Oryzias latipes: one gene and its partner. The protein of the gene in region 1 interacts with the protein of each later gene in a pairwise test. Links are inferred from orthologs where the notes say so. Each region holds a gene or a part of one and is shown in the gene's direction. Other genes may lie near its edges.

Region 1 (10,096 bases):
ATGCTGCTTTAGAAATATTCAGTGCTTTGGAAATGACCTGTTCTTGCAAAGGCAGCTGCCACACTCGCTTTTATTGAGTGCAAAGACAGATAAAGTGAAGGATTCCTGAGACTCAAAGAAAAACCTTTAAAGACGAACTACTTGTTGGATCGCTAGAAACATAAAAATGTGATCGTTTTTAGCTCTGCAAAATTACTCGAATGGAACTTCCAACAGATGTGAATGGATCAGAAGCCAAAAAAATGAAAGGAGTTTAGAGAGGAGAAGATTAATTTGAATAGTCCTGGAAATAAACATAAAAAAAACAAAAGGTGAACAACACGTGTTTACAACATGTATTCAAATGTTGTAAACAACCTCCATCCATGCAGCCATTTCCAGAAATCCCTTTTGGGGCCATGGAGCTGCAAGAGTCAACCCAGCTATTATTGAGCAAAGGTGGGGCACACCCGGAACAGGTCCCCAGTTCATTTCAAGGCCACACCTGCATGCTCACTTAGAGGCAATTTAGAGCAATCAACCTGTGAAGCCTGTTTTTGGATTGTGGGAGAAAGTGGGAGTGACCAGAGAAACCTGAAAACAACCTTTAAATCATAACTGATTTTTCAAACCAGACCTAGAGATATTCAAACAGATGAAAGCATGTGCCAAGTCTTGTTTGACTGGAAAAAAGAAAGTAAAATTTACATGTGTTGCCATGAATCTCAGCGCTAAAACAGTCCCTGGAGCTGATATGAACGTTGGATTAAAAACCAGATGAAAGATCTCAGAACACTGATGCATGCAATGAATCCCAAAACTCTTACAAAAATAGGAGGCCAGATGCCCAACGCGCTAAGAAATCTGAAACGTATAAGACATATAATCATCCATTCATTTTACCAGTACAACATTAATGGGGACACTTTTTCGAGGCAGTTTATATTTAAATCAAAGTCCTGCTCGAAAAACAAACTGCTATTTTCAATTTTTGTATTAATTTTAATTTTGGCTGTAAATGTCTTCACAACAGTAGAAATGTTGTGCAATATTTCAAATTATTTTCAAAGTCTTGTCAAAACGTGACATTCAGCTGATCTTTTTTTTCCTGGAAAGAAAACAATGGTCACATCCAGAGCTCAACAATTGAAACAAGATCTTATTACAACACTGTCCTCTAAGGCTGGAGTACATGAACCAAAGCTTGACGTTTACTTTGCTTGGCTGCATTGTAAAAACTGAAAGTTACCTATTTTAAATAATTTACACCTATTCCACAGGATGCTGGCAACTCTTTTGCTTTCACGGCTGTTATATCTAGCTAGAAACAGATTGCAATTCAGTGCAAAATAAAGTCTTCATGAATGCTTGGTTGAAATTATTTTCCTTATCCTGTGTATGAGGCAGTGGAAGGGGGAGAAGGAGTCCTTGTTTTCAATAGGCGATGGAGAAATAAAATACCAATATGAACAAAGTCATAGAATACCATGTTAAAAAAAGGAAGGTGCATTGTTAATGATGTTTATGATTGATCTTGGTAACATAATTTACAATACATCCACAAATGTTCCAAAGATTTTTGATTTAGCATTTCTGAATGTTTTCTTTCACTCTCTCTCATGCCACTTAACTATTCGGGGGCAAAGCAGGGTTGTGTGAACAGGGACATGCTAACTTGTACACTAACAAAACCAAGAACTGAACCTCCAACCTCGTGCTCAAGCTGAAAAATCATTTAGCAAAAGCATGACCAAAAAGAAAACAAATGGCTGCAATTATTCCATATAGAGAGAGAAAACCTGAATTTCATCTATGAAGGCAACTCAGGAAATTTGCCTGGTGCATCATGGGATGCCTAAGAGAAGTTTAAACTTGTAGTGCTGAAACTAAAGGTCAGTTGAGAAAAAGCCTAGCCTGTCTGAATAAAATAAAAATATAAAAAAGATAGATTTATTAGAAACCAAATACAAACTCAGCTTCAGATATTTTGGATTCAGAGAAACTGATATGGATATGCATTTCATGTAGCGTGTCAAATGTCTCACTGAGGCTCAGGCGTGGCAGCATATGTTTATGAGCGAACATTGGCTGGTGCTGACTGCCTGCCTTCACAGCTCCACCTGTGTGCCAGTACAAAGGGCGTGACCACAGGCTCAGGCACGCGCTCTCCCTGTGGGAAGTGGTTGAAAGTAGAAAGCTGCAGGAGTCAAGCCAACATTTTCTTTTACAGAATTTGCTGCAATATTTTCCTGGATTTTAAAGAAATCTGTTTAATGTCACTTTGAGATGAACTTTAAAGTATATCCTCTTTGCAAACAAAATATAATGTTTGTCTTTATTTTCAGACCATATGTGGTGGCAGGCTGAAATGTCAGGCTGTATGTTGCCACAGACCGCCCATTTAACAAGCCCAAGGAGCACTCACCCAATGCTCATTTAATTTAATCTTGAGGAAGCAAATGTCCACATACAGTAAATAGTGTAATTCCTCACAATAATCTCTCTTTCGTCATTTCCTCCGGTCTGTGCTTTGTTCCTTCCACTTGTTGATGGAGTGTGTGACTGTCTGTATGCAGATAAAAATACTGTATTTGCAAGGTAAGCTTCTTCTACTAATAGGGACAGACAAAATGTGCTCATTTAAAGTCTTTAATGTACTTCTAATTTTATGTTGCAACAGCAGATTTGGTTCTTTTATTATAACCTAAATACTTTTATTCTTTTACCTCAGTTTAGACCAAGATAATGTCCAGGAATTCAACTTTTAGGCTTCAAAACAAATTATTATATCATGTCTTATCTTGTCTTTTTTGAGTCCTTATTGTTTCAGAAAACAACCTTTAAACAAACTTTATTTGCTTTACTCCAATTTCAAAAACTGCTTGTCCAGATTTATCTTTTTGTTCTTTGTTGTCAAGATTTAGATTATTTTGTTGTTGTTGGCAGTTTTCAGTTCTTATGAGCAAATAAGCAGACAAAAAATAAATGTATTTTTTCATTTGTCACTTTCTGCATCAATATTCCTTTGTGCTGTTGCCCAAAAAGCATCGCATACTGGATGTGCACTTTGTAAAGCTAACAAAACAAAACCAAATGTCGGTGAAATATTAAATAGAATATTGTATGTCTGCATTAAACATGGGTTTATATTTATACTTATTTATTTTTAAATGTTGTTTGTGCTCTTCTTTTTATTAAAACTATGAGCAACATAATTCAAGTCTGCAAGAATTACTTTCTCTTTCCACATTAAACTACACGATTAGCCTTTCCATGAAAGTAAGGGGTTTTGTCAGTCACTACATGTCCTAATTTTGCTTCAAATTAGTTTTTTAGGTAAAACAAAAATACAGAAATATCATAATCCATATCACACTGCACATGATCAAGCTAAGAGAAAACTAAAGGAAAATGCAATGAAATTAAAGGAAATTGCTGTGATCAGAAACCAGGAGACAGTTGATGCTCCGTTGAAGCACTGCTGACATATATCTTTTCTGCCTTAAAATGTGTAATAAGGTTTTGGGTTGTGTAGTATCGCGCGTCTGCCTGCAGATAGGTAATTTCTCTCGTGTCTTTTACGATGATGAATGACTTCATTTCGTTGTGATGAGTGCGTTCCTTTGTCTCCCCACGACCTGCCTGATCTCTGAGCTTATTAACTGTCTGTTGCTTTGGGTTTCAGCTCAGATGCTTCCTTTTTGTATTAAAGAAATGATGAAGCGGCATCATGCGCGTCGTGATGAATGGTGAATCGTGCGTATTTACGCGCGCGCCGGCGTGTATATGTGTGCAGGTCTAGACTTATTAGTGAAATACGCTCTCAGCGTGGAATGACCTTGTTGAAAAAGGAGACTTTTTTGACTGTGCCTGCAGCGCGTGACTGCGTGCGTGCGTTTGTTTACACGCTTCCTGTGTGTGCGTGTCTTTTCTGCGTGTGTCACCTAAACGTGGGGAGCGACAGAGGGGGGCGGGCACGCCCAAAAGATGGTGTTGAATCACGCCCGTCTGTTGCTTTTTCTGTGTATCGGTGCGCCCCACGATTGGCGGACAACAGTGGAGGTAGCCAGCACTGGTGCGCCGTGGGCGTGTGGAACGTCTGTTTATAAACCTAGATCTTTTATCAGTGGGCGGGAACAGCAACAGCATTGAGGGAAAGTGGGGCGCTTGAAAAAGAGAAACGTAAAAAGGAGACGAGGCTGTGGCGGCGGCTGAGGTTGACAGGGGCTCGCGGAGGGGGCGCGGCGGCAGCCCCTGTATGCGTCTTCCACCGCGCATGGACGACCACCTCAGCCTCCTGCAATCACCCCCGCCGAGCGTCACCAAAACCAGGGGAGACAACTTGGTGAACCACGGATACACCGAGACAGAGACCGACGTGATGACGGTCGTGGCATGTGACAACATGCTGGAAGAGTCGGCGGCTCTCCCGGGCCACCACTCTCTGGACAGATACGAACCGGATCACGAATGCTGCGAGAGGGTGGTCATCAACATCTCAGGGTTACGTTTCGAGACGCAGCTCAAGACTCTGTCACAGTTCCCAGAGACGCTGCTGGGTGACCCAAAGAAAAGGATGAGGTACTTTGACCCTCTCAGGAACGAATACTTCTTCGACAGGAACCGACCCAGCTTTGATGCCATTCTGTATTACTACCAATCCGGCGGGCGGATCCGGAGACCAGTTAATGTGCCCATTGACATTTTTTCTGAGGAGATACGCTTCTATGAGTTGGGTGAGGAGGCGATGGAGAAGTTCAGGGAGGATGAGGGCTTCATAAAAGAGGAGGAGCGGCCACTACCAGAGAATGAATTTCAGCGGCAGGTGTGGCTGCTGTTTGAATACCCGGAGAGCTCGGGTCCTGCCCGGGGGGTCGCAATAGTGTCTGTTTTGGTCATTCTCATCTCCATTGTCATCTTCTGCTTAGAGACACTGCCGGAGTTCAGGGACGAGAACAATGATGTGATCACTCTAGCGCCGGTGATAAATGGCACAGTACCATATTTCATCAGCCCCTTCTCTGATCCCTTCTTTGTCGTGGAGACGCTGTGCATCATCTGGTTTTCCTTTGAGCTCCTGGTGCGCTTTTTTGCTTGTCCGAGCAAAGCCACGTTTTCCAAAAACATTATGAACATCATTGACATTGTGGCCATCGTCCCGTATTTCATCACCCTGGGCACAGAGTTAGCAGAGAGGCAAGGGAACGGACAACAGGCCATGTCTTTGGCAATTCTGCGCGTAATTAGGCTTGTTCGGGTGTTTCGCATCTTCAAACTTTCGCGTCACTCCAAGGGGCTTCAAATTCTGGGGCAGACCCTGAAGGCCAGCATGCGCGAACTGGGCCTGCTCATCTTTTTCTTGTTCATAGGGGTCATTCTCTTTTCCAGCGCTGTTTACTTTGCCGAGGCGGACGACCCGTCCTCGGGTTTTAGCAGCATCCCGGACGCGTTCTGGTGGGCTGTTGTTACGATGACCACCGTGGGATATGGGGATATGCACCCCGTGACAATCGGTGGAAAGATTGTGGGATCTTTGTGCGCAATCGCGGGCGTGCTGACCATTGCCCTCCCAGTCCCTGTCATCGTCTCCAATTTTAACTACTTCTACCACAGAGAAACAGAGGGCGAGGAGCAAGCGCAATACCTGCACGTGGGCAGCTGTCAACCTCTGGCAGACACAGAGGAGCTGAGGAAGACGCGCTCCTCCTCCTCCCTCAGCAAGAGCGAGTACATGGTGATAGAGGAGCACGGGATAAACAGCGCGTTTAAGCAGCAGCCGAATTTTCCCACTACAACTCAAAACAACTCACAGAATTGCGTAAACATAAGCAAAAAGATTTTCACCGACGTGTAGCGTTTCAGTTCTGACCAACAGGTGAGGCATCAACATACAGCTGGCTCTGGCGGTGCACACCAGCGTGTGGAAGCACAGATGGAAGATACGAGGAATGGAATAGTATTGCTGCTTAGTTTGTGCTCTGTTTAAAGAATCCGGATAGTTCACTTTAGTGATATAAATTCATCCCTTAAGGTTCCGTTTGCGCTTGCGTAAAGACAGAGATAGAATGAGTTCTTCTCTGAGGGGCTGATCCTGTTGTGCGTTTCCAGTAGCAAGTGTATAATCACAACAGGTAGAAATAGAAGCTTTTTTACTGTGAAGGGTGCGTAAAACTGCGTGTTCCTTGAAGGACACTTACACTGTTTCATGCGTTATGCGTCGTGATCAGTCATGCTTAGACAATGTATAATAACCAGTCATTTAAATATGTGTCTGTGTTCAAACACACGTATGTCTGAAAAAAAAAACGGTTCGAAGATATAAAATGTCAACCAGACCGTTCCGTGTTATGCCTTCATTATGCGTCCTTGAAAAATAACTCCAAATATTTCCTCTGCGTAGGTTATATTGTTAGGCTAACCAGTGCGTAAACGGCGCTTTGTAAACACCGGATCCAGCCAATTGTCAGCATCTCCTTATCTGTGCAAGAAACACGTGAGCGCAGAAGCACAAAGCTGCCTCCGTACGCACACAAACAATGATCAAAGATGGAGAGTGATTCTCTTTGGATGCCTCAAATATAGCTCTCTGTGATGCAGTCACTATGGTGACGGTCGTTTCCTGGGTAACCCCAGTCACCGTTGCCATGGCACCCTTGTTTCCACAGTAACCTCCCAGATGGCTTGGAATTTATACAGACGATTCTCATGTGAATGGCGTGACTTCACTCTCTAATGAGGCAGTTTTATCACCAAGCTGCTCTGCGTAAAGCACCAATCCAGATGTACGGAGCAACCAGCCTCTTTGACACCAACACAAAACGAAATTCTACAGAGGAGATTTGTTTACACCCCCCCCCCCCCCCCAATCACCCCCTCTAAACAAATCTATTTCAAGCTGGGGAGCTGCTGTGCCTGAAAACATGAAAGGAGGAGCGGCGCGTGAAAATATGAATGAAGTGGGAGCACTACCGCAAACGCACAGCAAAGGGTGCTGTTCCCTTACTGAAAAAAATAGGTAAGACGCACATTTATGCTGAGCACAAGTGCACTGTTCTCTGAAACAATAAGACCTCATATGGAATTTCAAAATAGGGTTATGTGTCATCAGAAAGGCTGCTACACAAAGAGCCCTCACACTGTCATGGCAAAAAATATAAATACTTTCTTTTTCAAAGTAAAAAAAAAAGTAGTATTTGAGTCCCCACTTGCATGTTTACATGTGAAAAATTATTTTATGATAAAACTCCTGCTCTCTGGTAAATGACGACATGCTCTTGCTGCACATTCAGGTCGCATTTAACCTTCAGCTGACTTTGTCGATGGACTAAAATAGGAGCAGCAAAGGCATGCCACGTTAGCTCGTCTCAACACTGCCTCCTAGTGTCTATTTTCTTGTTACAGGCGTCTCACACATTGATGTCCTCCGTTTTCCTCAGCCACACACAGTGATTCAATCACCTTGAGACAGCACATATGAGTGTGGAATGAAAACACTGATAAAGCTTTGTTCATGTTTTATGTGTAAATATTTGCATAAGCTAAAAGCACATTAATATTTAAAAAATGTTAAAACAGTAAATGCCAGTTATGGCATTTGGTGGGGCCGGCTCTGGCAGACCCGTGACCCCGAAAGGGACAAACGGAAGAAGATGAAAACAGTAAATGGCCTTCCTGATTTATAGTCTTTGACAGTGCTCTACTCTATTTATGTGGATGATTCTTCTTTTCTAATAGTTACGGACTTAACAGACAGGACAGCACAATTTTCTTCCTTTTTCTGCAGAATCCATTTCTGCTTTGAATTGGAATGTGTTTTCCTAAAAGTGCCTCTGAGTGTCTGTCAGCTCCAAAATAATGACAAAGTTGGCAGTCAGTGTTGATTGATGTTGGACAATTTCACTGGAATATTGTGATTTGAAGAGCCCACAGGATGACTTCCCAATTATTCAGTTCCATCCCAGCTGATCCCAGACATCAGCCTCTTGTTTTGAAGCTAAAGCCTTTTTTTGTTTGTTTTTGGGCAGATAAACTTTCTTTTTGATTTTTTGTATCACTCCAGATGAATTGTTTATGGTAATAAAAATTATATCTATTTAGTTCAACAGTAAACATTGTTGCTCAAGGCTGCAGGAAGTGAATACAATAATCCATTTTATTTGGAAAAATAATAGAAAAGAAAGAAACAAATCAAGTTCAATAAATTCAGAGGTGTCTGTGTGGGGGGGCTTTTTTCTTTTTTTTGGGGTCAAAAATGTGTCCTTTTCCACAACGATCTGAAAACTGTATTTATGGTCTCTCATATCCTATTTATTGAAGTTGTGTTTCTTCTCATAGGGTGACAACTGTAGAAACCACTAACCTGCAGTAGCTTTTCTTTCCCTACAGGTGTGCAGTGATTCTGGTCTTCCGGATGGGATAGATGGGTCACATTTGGGATCTGAGACAGAAATCCTTCTGGATCGGTTCTTCTTTCCCTGTACTCAACTGATGCCTAAATCAAGACTTAAAAAGTGGTGCCTATATCTCCTTCTCTAGCGGGACTACCAATCAATCCAAAAATGCAAGAAAATGAGGTCACAATAGGCTTCTGACATTTTTTCCACACACCTTTGTAGCCGCAGCTTCTATTGTTAAGCTGACACAATCTGAATGGGGGAGTCACGGGATCAAAAGTGACTTAAAAACTCGTGCTTAAGCTGTTACTGGCTTTCTAGGAAACAGCAAGTGCTTTCTCACATCACAGGGACTTTGACAATGATTTCTAGAATCTGTCTTCATCATATTGTCTTCATCGTCATCAAAAAGTCAGCAAGAGGAAAAACCTATGTGCTCTGTGATTAACTGATATGAAACTGTGATTCAAAACAAAGACTGTTAGCCACATGCCTTTGTTAGTTCTTTGTGCTCCGTGTTGTTGATATGTAAAACGCACACATAGCCACGTGTGCTAGTTGCTGCTATTCCCTTGACTTATACTTTAAGAACAATACAAAGGCACGTGCAAACAGGCATATTTATACACACACATTTGTGAATTTCTCTCTTCTGTTCCAGACTGCACTCTTGATTTTTGGAACGGGGCAGATTGTTGTCAGGGTAAGGCTGTGTATGCCAGTATTTGTTCCGTGTTATTACATGCCATCTTAAACATGACCCATGTGAAGAGATTGTGATGCGTCTTCATTTGACAGTAGCTGCAGTCTATTACTCAATTACTGAAAGAACAATATACTCATTTAGTGTCAGCCTAACTAGCTTCTCTCAGTTTTCAACAGTGAGTAGTATCTACACTTCTTCAAATATGACTAAATAGAGTTTTTTTATTAATAATTATAAAGTTTTTCTAAATTTCAACTCCAATCATCTTTTGATGTATTGTTAAAGCGTTCCCATTGGCCTGTTTATGCCGTTTTTGGGCAAAATGAAAAAGCCTGTGTTGTCTTCTCTGACTAGTTTCTGCAGAGCGGTAGCAGTTCATTCTGAATTCACCTCTGGGTTGTGGATGGGACTGTTGGCATGGATCGAGCCCACCCCCCATTCCCTCCATCCATCTCTTTGCGTACTCTCCTGCTGCAGCCTCTCACAACCTCAACCTAACAAAACAGGTGCAACAAAAAAGACGAGCAATATTGGAGGTATCCAGTCAGCTCGGACAAGGAAAACAAAGGCTTTCATGGATCTAGTCGTCTACAAGTGGATGCATCTGAATGGAGCAGAGCAGGGAGCTTGTGGTTTCCCGTAGAAACTTGTACGTCACACTTATACGTTTTTCCAACAGTATTTTTTTGTCTGCTCCTGATTCACAAAGATTTAAAGAAATGCTCAGAAATGCAATTTTAAGATTGGTTTTCTTTATAAATGTTGTCCACCCTCAGAAAAATGAAAATCTTATAAACACCAAAAACACAATTTTTATTGGAATGGGTCTTTTTATGTTTTTTGTACAATATAAGACATTTAAATTCAAAGCTAGCATTTACAGAGAAGAACACAATTAGACAACATTAGATAAAAAACTTGTCTTTGTTTGAAAATGAGTATTTAATTCCTAATCACTCTCATATCCTCAAATTCATTAGACAGATTTTTTTAAAGCAAAAACATTGTTTATTGCAAG
Region 2 (10,313 bases), on another chromosome or scaffold:
ATGTGGAGCAAACGCGGGGGGAAAGGAAACCCCCACCTGATGGAACAACATCAAACCTCCTCCAGCAGCTTCAGCTCTTGTTGCTATAATTACAACAAACCACATTCTCTGTTTAAGTACTATTGTGTGAATTAAAAATATCTTCATAGTTTAGTCTAGTCGTATGCCTATAAATAAATGGTAGTTGTATCTGACACAGAGCGAACACTTAGCTCGCCTTTGACGTCTTTTAGAAAAATCAAAGGAGTTGAATTTGACACACTCTGTAGGTAAATGCTGCATGAGCATCGTGCAGGTCTCTGAAGGGTGTGTGCCGTCACCTACATTCAAACATTTCAGTGAAGACCTTTCAGGAGGACAAAGCCAAACCACATTCCCAGCTAAAGACCTCATGTTCCCTGTAAATTGCAGGGTGAGAGCCACTTTCAGCTTACTGCTGGTTTCAGTTCCTAACTGCTTTTACTAGAGGTTAACACACCATTTCTCTTTACCAATAAATTCTTGCATATTAATGCAATCAGCTGCTGTGCTCTGCTAACTTTTATAGAGTTCAATGGCTTTGTGGTACAGTGTCCATCCTGAGACTGGAAGGTCATGGGTTCAAATCCAGACCAAGTTATACCAAGGACTCTAAAAATTGGTCCCAATGCCTCTGTGTTTTGCACTTAGGCTCAAAGGGTTGGAATGGGTTACCAACAAATGTTTCCTGAATGTGGTTGTATCTGCAGCTCACCCCCCTCGAAAGGATGGGAGAACAAATTTTACATCCCTAGGTCCGTGACAGCCAATGGGAATTTAACTTTACTTACAGAAATTATCGTTTTTTACTATCATCCGGAAGGATTCTGAAAACATGTCAAAATAAAAAAGGCCCTTTAAAAGAGGAGCTCCGCCACGTTTTTCTGGATGTTTCTTGGATTGTCAAAGCTTTCACTAGGAGCACATGAGGTGAGATGGTTGAAGAACCCGTCCTGTCAGTTTCTGAATGACATTTTAATATCTCTGAAGATCCTGAGAGCCTGAACGTTCCCACAGATCAAATTTGTCACCATGCCACAACTCCCTTTCTGCAGTTGTACCCCCCCGAGGAATTTGTTTTTAAATTGTAGAATGTCTTGTGTTTATCGCAGAACTGCTGAGGTCTACATAAAGTATGATTAATCTTTCTATGAAACAGGTTTTATGATCTGTGTTCATAACTTCACCTATTAAAGTCCAGACATGAAGTAAACCGGTGTGTAATGTATATTTTACAATGATTTTCACTGTTTCTAGACAAAAATCAAAAATCCTGTGTTGTTTTCCAGGACATAGTTTCTATGGAAGCGATTCTGTAGCATAATTAAAAATAAAAGTCAAAACCAGAAATACTTTTTCATTTTCAAAATAAAGCTGCATTTTTTGACTCAAAATTAAAATGAAAACGCAATCCGCCAAAATGTTTTTTTCATTTTCTTCTTTAACACCGCTTATTCTGTCACTTACCTGTAATTAAAATGACGTGGTATTTGACATTTCATTTTCAAAAAGTTATCTGTTGTAGCAAAATTCATTTAGAATTGTCTAATTTGACAATTAAAATGGGTTTAATAGAAATGCTTTTTCATTTTCAAAATGTAACTGAAACAAAAGACTCAAAATTAAAATGAAAATTTAATACTTCAAAATACTTTTTCATTTTCTACTTAAAACCGCTTATTCTGTGTCATAATTAAAATGAAAATGCAAAGAGGGGATTGCATTTTCATTTTAACATCCACCCTGTGAATAGTGTCGCAATATTCATTTCGAATAAGCATTTCCAGTGGGGAGGCGGGGCGATGACGTCAGTGTGTTCTCTGTGTGTGCGGCTGCTAACAGACACATGCTAGGAGCAGTGGAGCTTTGTGTTAGCGGCAGAGGAGAGGGCTGTGTGATGGTTGTGAACTCCTGATGATTGTAGACAGCTTCTCAGGACTACGTAGCAGCATTTCCCTGCACCCCCCCCCTCGGACCAGCAGCTGCCTTCGCATAGCGGAGCGCGAAACCCCGCTATCCGATCTCCCGTTCACCGAAGGCAGAAGTGCTGATATGATCTGAGAAACCATCATATGAATATGTGTTTCCAGTGGTGTCCAGAAAAAAATAAAGGATGATGTAATTCCCACATATTTACATCCAATATGCTCATTGCCCGCAAGGAGTTTTAAGTACCTCCACGGCTAATGTTTAAAGCACATATTAGCCTAATGCTAACTCGTCTTTCGGGTCCTCCAGCGAAGAAAAAAGCACTGACCGAACGGATTTAAAAAAATTGAGTGAGCAGGCCCTTAATAATAATCATAACAATAAAAGCACATTTAGAAGATAGATGGTTGGACCAACACACACTCAGCGTGAAGCTGAGTGTGTGTTGGTCCAACCAGCAAACGTTTAGCATGGTGAAATCTGCTATAGCTGTTGATGGGACTCCAGCTGTCATTGAACAGCAAAATCAGCGTGAAGCTGCAGGAGACTATCTTCTAAATGAGCTCCACTGCTCCTAGCATGTGTCTGTTAGCAGCCGGACACACGGATTTAGCACTGATGTCATCGCCCCGTCTCCCCTCTGGAAATGCTCTTTCGAAATGAATAATGCGACAATGTTTGCAGGGTGGATGCTAAAATGAAAATGCAATCCCCTCTTTGCATTTTCGTTTTTATTCTGACACAGAATAAGTTGTGTTGAAGATGGAAAGAAAAAACATTTTGGTGGATTGCTTTTTTATTTTCATTTTGAGTCAAAAATGCAGCTTCATTTTGAAAATGAAAAAGCATTTCTGGTTCTGACTTTTATTTTTAATTATTCTACAGAATCACTTCCATAAGTTTCTACAGAGCGGCATAAGTTCATTAAAAATTCAACTCTGAGCTGTGGGCTGGACTGTTGGTGTGGCGCATTTCTGCCTAATTTCCCGTCATCCATCCATGACACCCCCGACCTAACATCATCGATGCAACAAAAATGGTGAGCAATACTGGAGCTATCCATTCATACAGTTTAGATCCAGACTCCAGCTCAGACCAGGAAAACAAAGACGTACGTCTACAGGCTCAAAGGGTTGGAATGGGTACAATTGGATGCATCAGAATGGAGCAGAGCATGTTTGTGGCCCGCCCAACGTATTTTCTATGTAACAAATATGCTCTTTTTTTAAACTGCAATTTTTATTCTGTGTCCCTTATTCACAGTTATTTGAATTAAGAAATACTCAGTGATGCAATTTCAATATTAGTTTTATTTGTCCTCCATCATCAGAAAAATGCCACAAAACAACACCAAAAAATACACTGTTTATTGGAGTTGGTCTCTAAGTTCCACTCCATAGTGAGACTGTAGCATTGTTACAGGTATCAGGGCAAATTAACCCTTGTGCTATCTTAGATGACCCCACCCTTACATTGACCTGTTCTCCCTACCATGACAAAGGTGGATAAAGGTGGAAAGATTTCATGTAATCCATGGACACCAGTGAAGATCACAAATCATTGAAGAAAAAAGGTTCAGAGCACTGTCTAGTGGGTCTAGATGACCCAAATCCCAATGGTAACGTACCTAGGATAGCACATTAAAGGAGTAGACCTGCTGCGGCTGTTACCCTCATGGGCACTGACAGTAGAGTTTAGGGGTGGAGCAAAGGAATCCCAGTCACACAGAACAACCCAGCAGTAAGGCCCCAAGCCAAATTCTGCCACAGGTATCAATAATTATGCAGATATCAGTCTGCTTACAGAAGATAACATATTTTTTTAGAAACAGAAAAGATCATCTTAAAGGTACACTACAGCTACTTGTAATGAAATAAGTGCTCCGCATTTCACCCTGACTAATTATTGTGCACAAGAAGCCTATCAAAAAAGGGTAACACGTAGAAGAAAAAGACCATTCCATAAAATCCATACATTGCTTCTGTTCCACTGATGAGTGAGCTGCTGCCAAGAAGAGGTGAGAGGAAACTATCAGGGATGCCGGGTGCTTTACTTGAAGCTGACAAGAAAAGGAAAAGCATTGACACCTGCTCTCAAATGTTATTACTAATTCTGCATTTTCCCCCTCTTGATCTGTTTGCTTGTTTGTTTTCTTTTCTCTTGGAACAATCGATCGGTTTGGGACTCAGGTATGGCAGGTTTTCCCACTTCGACATTCAGTAATCCCATCTCACCCTCCTCCCTCTGAACAAGTGCCGTCTTATTCTGCCTTCATTCCTGAACGAAGCAGGGTTTTTTCCGTGCGTGTCACAGCAGCCCTTTGGTGTGAGATCACGTCCTTCTCTGCAGCCCAAGCGGCTGTTGTGCCGAGCGCGCACACGCAGGTGGCTGTGCAGACGCAGCGGAGCTTTCCCCTGCGCGCTCAGACTTTCCGCAGTTTTGTCTCACTCGGCGCCAAGGCAGCTCAGGGTTGATTTCATCATCAGGCGCGCGGTAGTCCGCGCTCACGCCTCCCACTTCGCTTCCCAGAGTGATCTGTGTTTGGACGGAGGACCCCATTTGCTCCTGAGGACAGAATGACAGGGGAGCGCACTGACGGAGACGCTGACGAGGTACAGTATGGCTCTCCCCTTTTAAATTAAATTATTTCCCCTTTTTGATATTTGCTTGTTGTTGTTTTATTCTGTTAAACTAGTTATTCTAGTATTTTTAGTTTCCTGCTGTGGCAAGCGCTGCGCTTTAGGAAAAAGCCAATTAACGCAACCAAATCCTGAGCTTTACGCGTCAGATTGCTCTGCTTCATCCAGGAAGAGACTTTAAAAGCGTTTAAAAGTTGGATTTTCAACCTCATTTTTCCACAAATGATCAAAATCATAAAAGCTTTGAGAGGATTCACTTTTACAACATATACTTGCATGTATGAATATTCATATTTTACAAATGTCACCTCTGGTAAAAAAAAAAAAAAAAAAAAAAAAAGATTAGTAGATGATATTCTGCTTGGATGGTGAGATGAAACACTGTTGCTTTTTCACAGAAAATGTTTTGAAGCGTTGCCATGCGTCCACATCCATGTGGAGCCAACTGTATGATAGGTCAGGACAGGAGCACTGTGTGGGTGGTGAGGACCCCTTGCGGCTGAGTGCAGGGGTGTGGTGCTGCGTGTTCAGTGCGCTTAAACCCATCCCTGTTCTCGAGGCAGGCCGGTGACTTGCACTGCAGTCTCGCTCCCTCTCGGCGCGCTGCGCACCACTCCGCCTCCACCACCTCCTCCTCTTCCTCACTTGTTTGCCTCCCTCGGATCTCCACAGGAGTTTCTGCAGTCGCCCTTCATCCGAAAGCAGGGGAACATATACAAGCCAAACAACAAAGACATGGACAACGACAGCGTAAACGAGAAGACGATGGATGATGTCCACACCAAAGAGATAGATCTAGTCAACCGGGACCCTAAACAAATAAACGACGACGTTGTCAAGGTGAGTCAGACCTGCTAATTTCGAACTTTTCAAGTTACTTTTAAAGTTGCAGCTGCAGAATCTTTCAAGACTTTTTGTGACAACAAAAAATAACAGTTGAGAGACTCCTGTGTCACAGACATTTCGGCCACTTTTTGCTTTTAAAGTCCAAGAATGTGATCAAAAACTGTCCAAGTGTTAAAATCTGGTTTGGTGTTTTCTGCGCCTGTGCGTCATCGTGCGCTCCCGGGGCTCAGACGCTGCTGCGCGCTGCCTCTCCAGAGCGGCCTCTTACTTTCTTTCCCCCTATTAGGAAGGAACTTTGCAGATGGAGTTGTGCTTTGCGCAGGCTGCACAGCCCATCTGCACGCACGGATTAAAAACGTGACCATCGGAACAAAGGAAACAGTACGAATTTCCTGTTTTTGGGACTCACGTTTCCCACAGTGGTTGCCTTGAAACCCTGAATTCTTTCCATAAGGGACATGCGCACAGAGGTTATGAGAGGGAGAGCTGGAAGCCACCTGAGGCGCTATGATACTGGAGGGGAGCGTCAGCTGTCTGTCACTCTCCACTCCAGCTGAGGCGGGCTTTCACATCAGAGCGGGGTCAAACAGCCCCCTGCATGAGAAGGATGGGTCAGGCCTCTGAAATGCCTGAACTGCGCTGTTAAAACAGGGAAACACCCAAGTAGCTGCTTAGTCAGAGGGGGATCCCTCACCACTCCCAGTGTTCTGATCTCCCCCCTTTCACCTGTCAGCATTCCAGCCAGAGGATTTAAATCTGAAGACATGTATGAATCGCTAAACCAACCGCCAAACTCATAAACAGTTCTTCCTCTCATGTTATTTCTGGAATTCCTCCACAAAATGATTCGATTTTATCAGATTCAGCTGATATTTCACTCCACGGGAACATTATCTGCAGTGTAACGTACAAATGTTGCCCCTTGGAAACACCCAGTCACTAGCATGAGACAAAGTGGGCACTAAATGCAGAAGTGAGTGAATTCAATAATGACCAACACATCCTTTCTTATTACACTGCACAGACTTGGCAAAGCGCTTAAGATTTCCTGTTTCTGTCTCTTCTTCACCGCTCTGCATCCTCCTGCTCTCAGTTGTGACGGTGAGTCAGACTCTCCCTGCGGTCAGGGCAGATTGAGGCTTTATGATCAAGTCAACTGACCGCCCTCAAAGTTAGTTTTCATCACATGGTCATGGACTGTAAACAAGAAACTTGTGTAATGAATTCCAGTTTCCATGATAACTTCTGAAAAGGTTTAAGCTATTCTTAAATCTGTGCTACGTTTAAGACCCACTCCATTGAAAATGGTGTTTTTGTTGTTTTTAACATGTTCTTGTGGTAATTTTCTGATGATGGAGGACTTATATAAAGAAAATGAAACTCAAAAACGCCATTTCTGAGTGTGTCTTTACTGAAATTGTTGTGATTCAGGAGCATAGAAAAAACTCTGAAAAAGATCGCATTGGTTGCATAGAAAATATGCTGGGTGTGCCACAAGCTCCCCGCTTTGCTCCATTCTGATGCATCCACTTGTAAACAGATCCATTAATGGTTTGTTTTTTCTGGTTTGAGCTGATATTTGGCTCAAAACTGCACGGCTGGATAGATGGCACAGATCAGAGTGGGTCTATAAGTAGAGCAGTCGTGTCTTTTCCGTTGATGGAAGCAGCTGGTTGGTATGAAAGAGCTAAATCCAGTCCGAACAGGGAATCCCTTCTGCGGTCATCCACTGTGTAATCAGCCACGCCGTCACACAGCTCCACACACATATGACAAGCAGCACACATCCTGAGTGCATGGATGCTTTGACTCATACATGTGAGAAAACCCACGGCTCTCTTGCAGCTGCAACCACAGCTGGCCTTAATCATCTGGCCACATGAAACAATGGATATTCCCTCTCAGAGCCTTTTTTATTCTTTCCCTTCCTTATGTTGTGGGCCTTTTTTATGTGCAGAGAGTGGAGGTCAAATGCCTGCACAGGACGTTTTTGAAGCTGCGTGGAGAAGCTTGAGTTCCAGCAGCAGACTCAGGTGTACCGAGGACAAACTAAAGAGGATGAACATCGTTTATTCATAGTGTTTGGTATAAACTTCACTTTTTAGCTTCAAACTTCCCTTTCCTTGGAGAATCATTCACATGGATGCCATTTAGTTTAACCCTTGTGCTATCCTAGGCACGTTAATATTGGGAGTTGGGTCATCATCTGGGGCGGCCGTGGTGCACAGTAGGGCGGTCGACCCATGAACATAAGATTGCAGGTTCGATTCCCGCCTTGCACGCCCATGTGTCGAAGTGTCCTTGGGCAAGACACTGAACCCCACCTTGCCTCTGGTGGGAGGTTGGTGCCAGTGTTTGGCAGCGGAGCCGCCATCAGTGGGTGAATGTGTGTGAATGTGTGTGTGCATGGGTGAATGGGACTGTGACTGTAAAGCGCTTTGGGCCTTCGTAAGAAGGTAGAAAGCGCTATATAAGTATACGCCATTTACCATTTACCATCTAGACCCACTAGACAGTGCTCTGAACCTTTTTTCTTCAATGATTTGTGATCTTCACTGGTGTCCATGGATTACATGAAATCTTTCCACCTTTATCCACCTTTGTCATGGTAGGGAGAACACGTCAATGTAAGGGGGGGGGTCATCTAAGATAGCACAAGGGATAAGAAAGGGGAGTGGACACATGAAAAAAAATCCAATTTTGCATATTGACCAATGTTTTCAATGCCGGTCATGTTAATTCGTATCTGTAACCAAACCGCAGACTCTCTTCCCCCGAAACTCCAGCAGAAGTCTGTTGATGCACCGCACTCTTCTGTCTTGTCAAGCATGTCTGACAGCCTGAAGATAAAACTCTGGAAATAGCACTTGGCCCTATTTACTCAATATTACGGTTGCTTTGCCAACTGGTCACATGTCGACCCCAAGACTGCATTGTTTCATATCAGGCCTCCCAATAGTCACCAGAGGTTCATACTGAGAATCAGCTGCTGATGGGATAAATGTGCTGCTGAGTGCAATCCAGAATGGATCCGAGGTCTGCAGGAAAAGCTTCAGGGACTTTTAGAAGTCTGTTTCAGTCAAATGATCCAACATTTTGGGCAAAGTGGGAGCTAGATTGAAAAAGATTGTTTTTTTGAAGTCATTATTAACAGAGTTGTAAAAAGCTTCATCTGCAGAACTGCATACAAACCCATTATGGTGTTTACTGCACGGGAAGTTGGTGTCCTCGGGTAACCTAGAGGATTTCCTCATTATGCTGCTCGGCATCACCAACCAACAGCGGCCCCTCATGGAGCTGTGTCGCTCTGCCTCTCCGGTGGGGCTGCTCTGAGGTGGAAAAAGGCTTTGGTTTCTGACAAAGACTGGAACCTGGAGCCACTTTTGGGTGGATCTGTGGAAAAACTGAAAGGGTGTCAGACTAGTTTGCACACTGAGTTTTGCCAGCTGTTGATCCAAGCAGCCACTTTAGCGCTGCTGTTTACTCTGACAGGAGCCTGGAGATCTCACACAGCTTTTCATAGAAATCAGCTTAGTGGCCCTGTGGGAGAGTGTCTGCCTGAGTCTGGGACGGTTTGAGTCCACAGTTCAGACACACGATAGTCTAAAAAAATCATACGCTGGATGAATTGTGGAGTCAAAGTAGTAAAGTGATTCCTACTGCTGTGGCTTTATTTCCCGGAGGAGGAAGTCAAATGCAAAGCAGATGTTTCACCTCATTGACAACAGGGTGACTTTACTTTACAGACTGTCTGTAATTGTAAAGGTTGTATAAAAAAGGCGTTTCTTTTTTAACGTTTGCACATAAACATGATGAGTTAAATAAATCAAGTCTCAGATCATTTTTGACTGAAAGCATAGTTTGGAAGGACAGGAGAAAATAGAAAAATAATCTGATAGTTTGAACTCGAACTTTGGGAGCAATAAATGAAGAAAACAGATTTAGATTCAAATAAAAAGACCAATTAACCCTTGTGCTATCTTAGATGACCCCCCCCCCCCTTCCATTGACGTGTTCTCCCTACCATGACAAAGGTGGATAAAGGTGGAAAGATTTCATGTAATCCATGGACACCAGTGAAGATCACAAATCATTGAAGAAAAACGGTTCAGAGCTCTGTCTAGTGGGTCTAGATGACCCAACCCCCAATGGTAAAGTGCCTAGGATAGCACAAGGGTTATGCTAAATCATAAACAGCTTGGGTGGTTTGGAAAATCCTTTTGTCACTTCTATAATATGTAACAGTGGTGCCTCCACACCCACAGAAGTCAGAAATTCCTGTTAGAAAAAGTTAAAAATGTGTTTACATCAGCTAAATTCAGGTGAACTGTGTTCATTCTCATGGTCTCTAAGCCAATCAGAGGGAGTGATGGGCGTGACTCCCTGCTCTGATTGGCCCAGATGCAAACATTCTTGGATGTCTGTGTGCAGATGTAACACTTGCTCAAATATGACTGAATCTTGAGTTTGAGTCGGTCCACAGACACCCGGTGCTGGCGGCAGTTGAAGGAAGCAAAAATAGTTTAACTACGGTGGCCCTGAAGTGTGCACGTCAACAAATCACTCGATGTAAAAAGATATAGAAGATCACAGCGACAATTAAAAATGAAAAACAAATAATAGAGACACAACATTACATTTAGGAAATCCAAACCAAATTCCAAAAATAAAAGAAACGAAATGAAAAAGGAAACGTTTCAGAAAACCAAAGTCATTTTCAGAAATCAAAATGAAAGTTTAAAAAACCAAACGTAGAAACCGGAGAAGGTTTACTGGTATGATGGGACATCACTGATTGGATGATAATGTTCATCCATCATTTTAACAGAAAGTTATTTGGCACGAAGCGCCGTAAACCAAAAACATGGATGTTACTGCTGA

What was found.
Region 2: the proteins of potassium voltage-gated channel subfamily A member 3-like (region 1) and caveolin-1 come close enough for resonance energy transfer, tested with the Homo sapiens proteins (2 studies listed by BioGRID). The link is inferred for Oryzias latipes from reciprocal best matches to the Homo sapiens genes KCNA3 and CAV1.

The regions. Positions count from the first base shown.
Region 1 is NC_019865.2:13,592,632-13,602,727, reverse strand, and holds potassium voltage-gated channel subfamily A member 3-like, read left to right. Parts: upstream 1-3,808; 5' UTR 3,809-4,237; coding exon 4,238-5,833; 3' UTR 5,834-6,994; intron 6,995-8,347; 3' UTR 8,348-9,147; downstream 9,148-10,096.
Region 2 is NC_019864.2:2,994,865-3,005,177, forward strand, and holds the start of caveolin-1, read left to right. Parts: upstream 1-4,295; 5' UTR 4,296-4,523; coding exon 4,524-4,559; intron 4,560-5,258; coding exon 5,259-5,426; intron 5,427-10,313. UniProt on the Homo sapiens protein: May act as a scaffolding protein within caveolar membranes. Forms a stable heterooligomeric complex with CAV2 that targets to lipid rafts and drives caveolae formation. Mediates the recruitment of CAVIN proteins (CAVIN1/2/3/4) to the caveolae.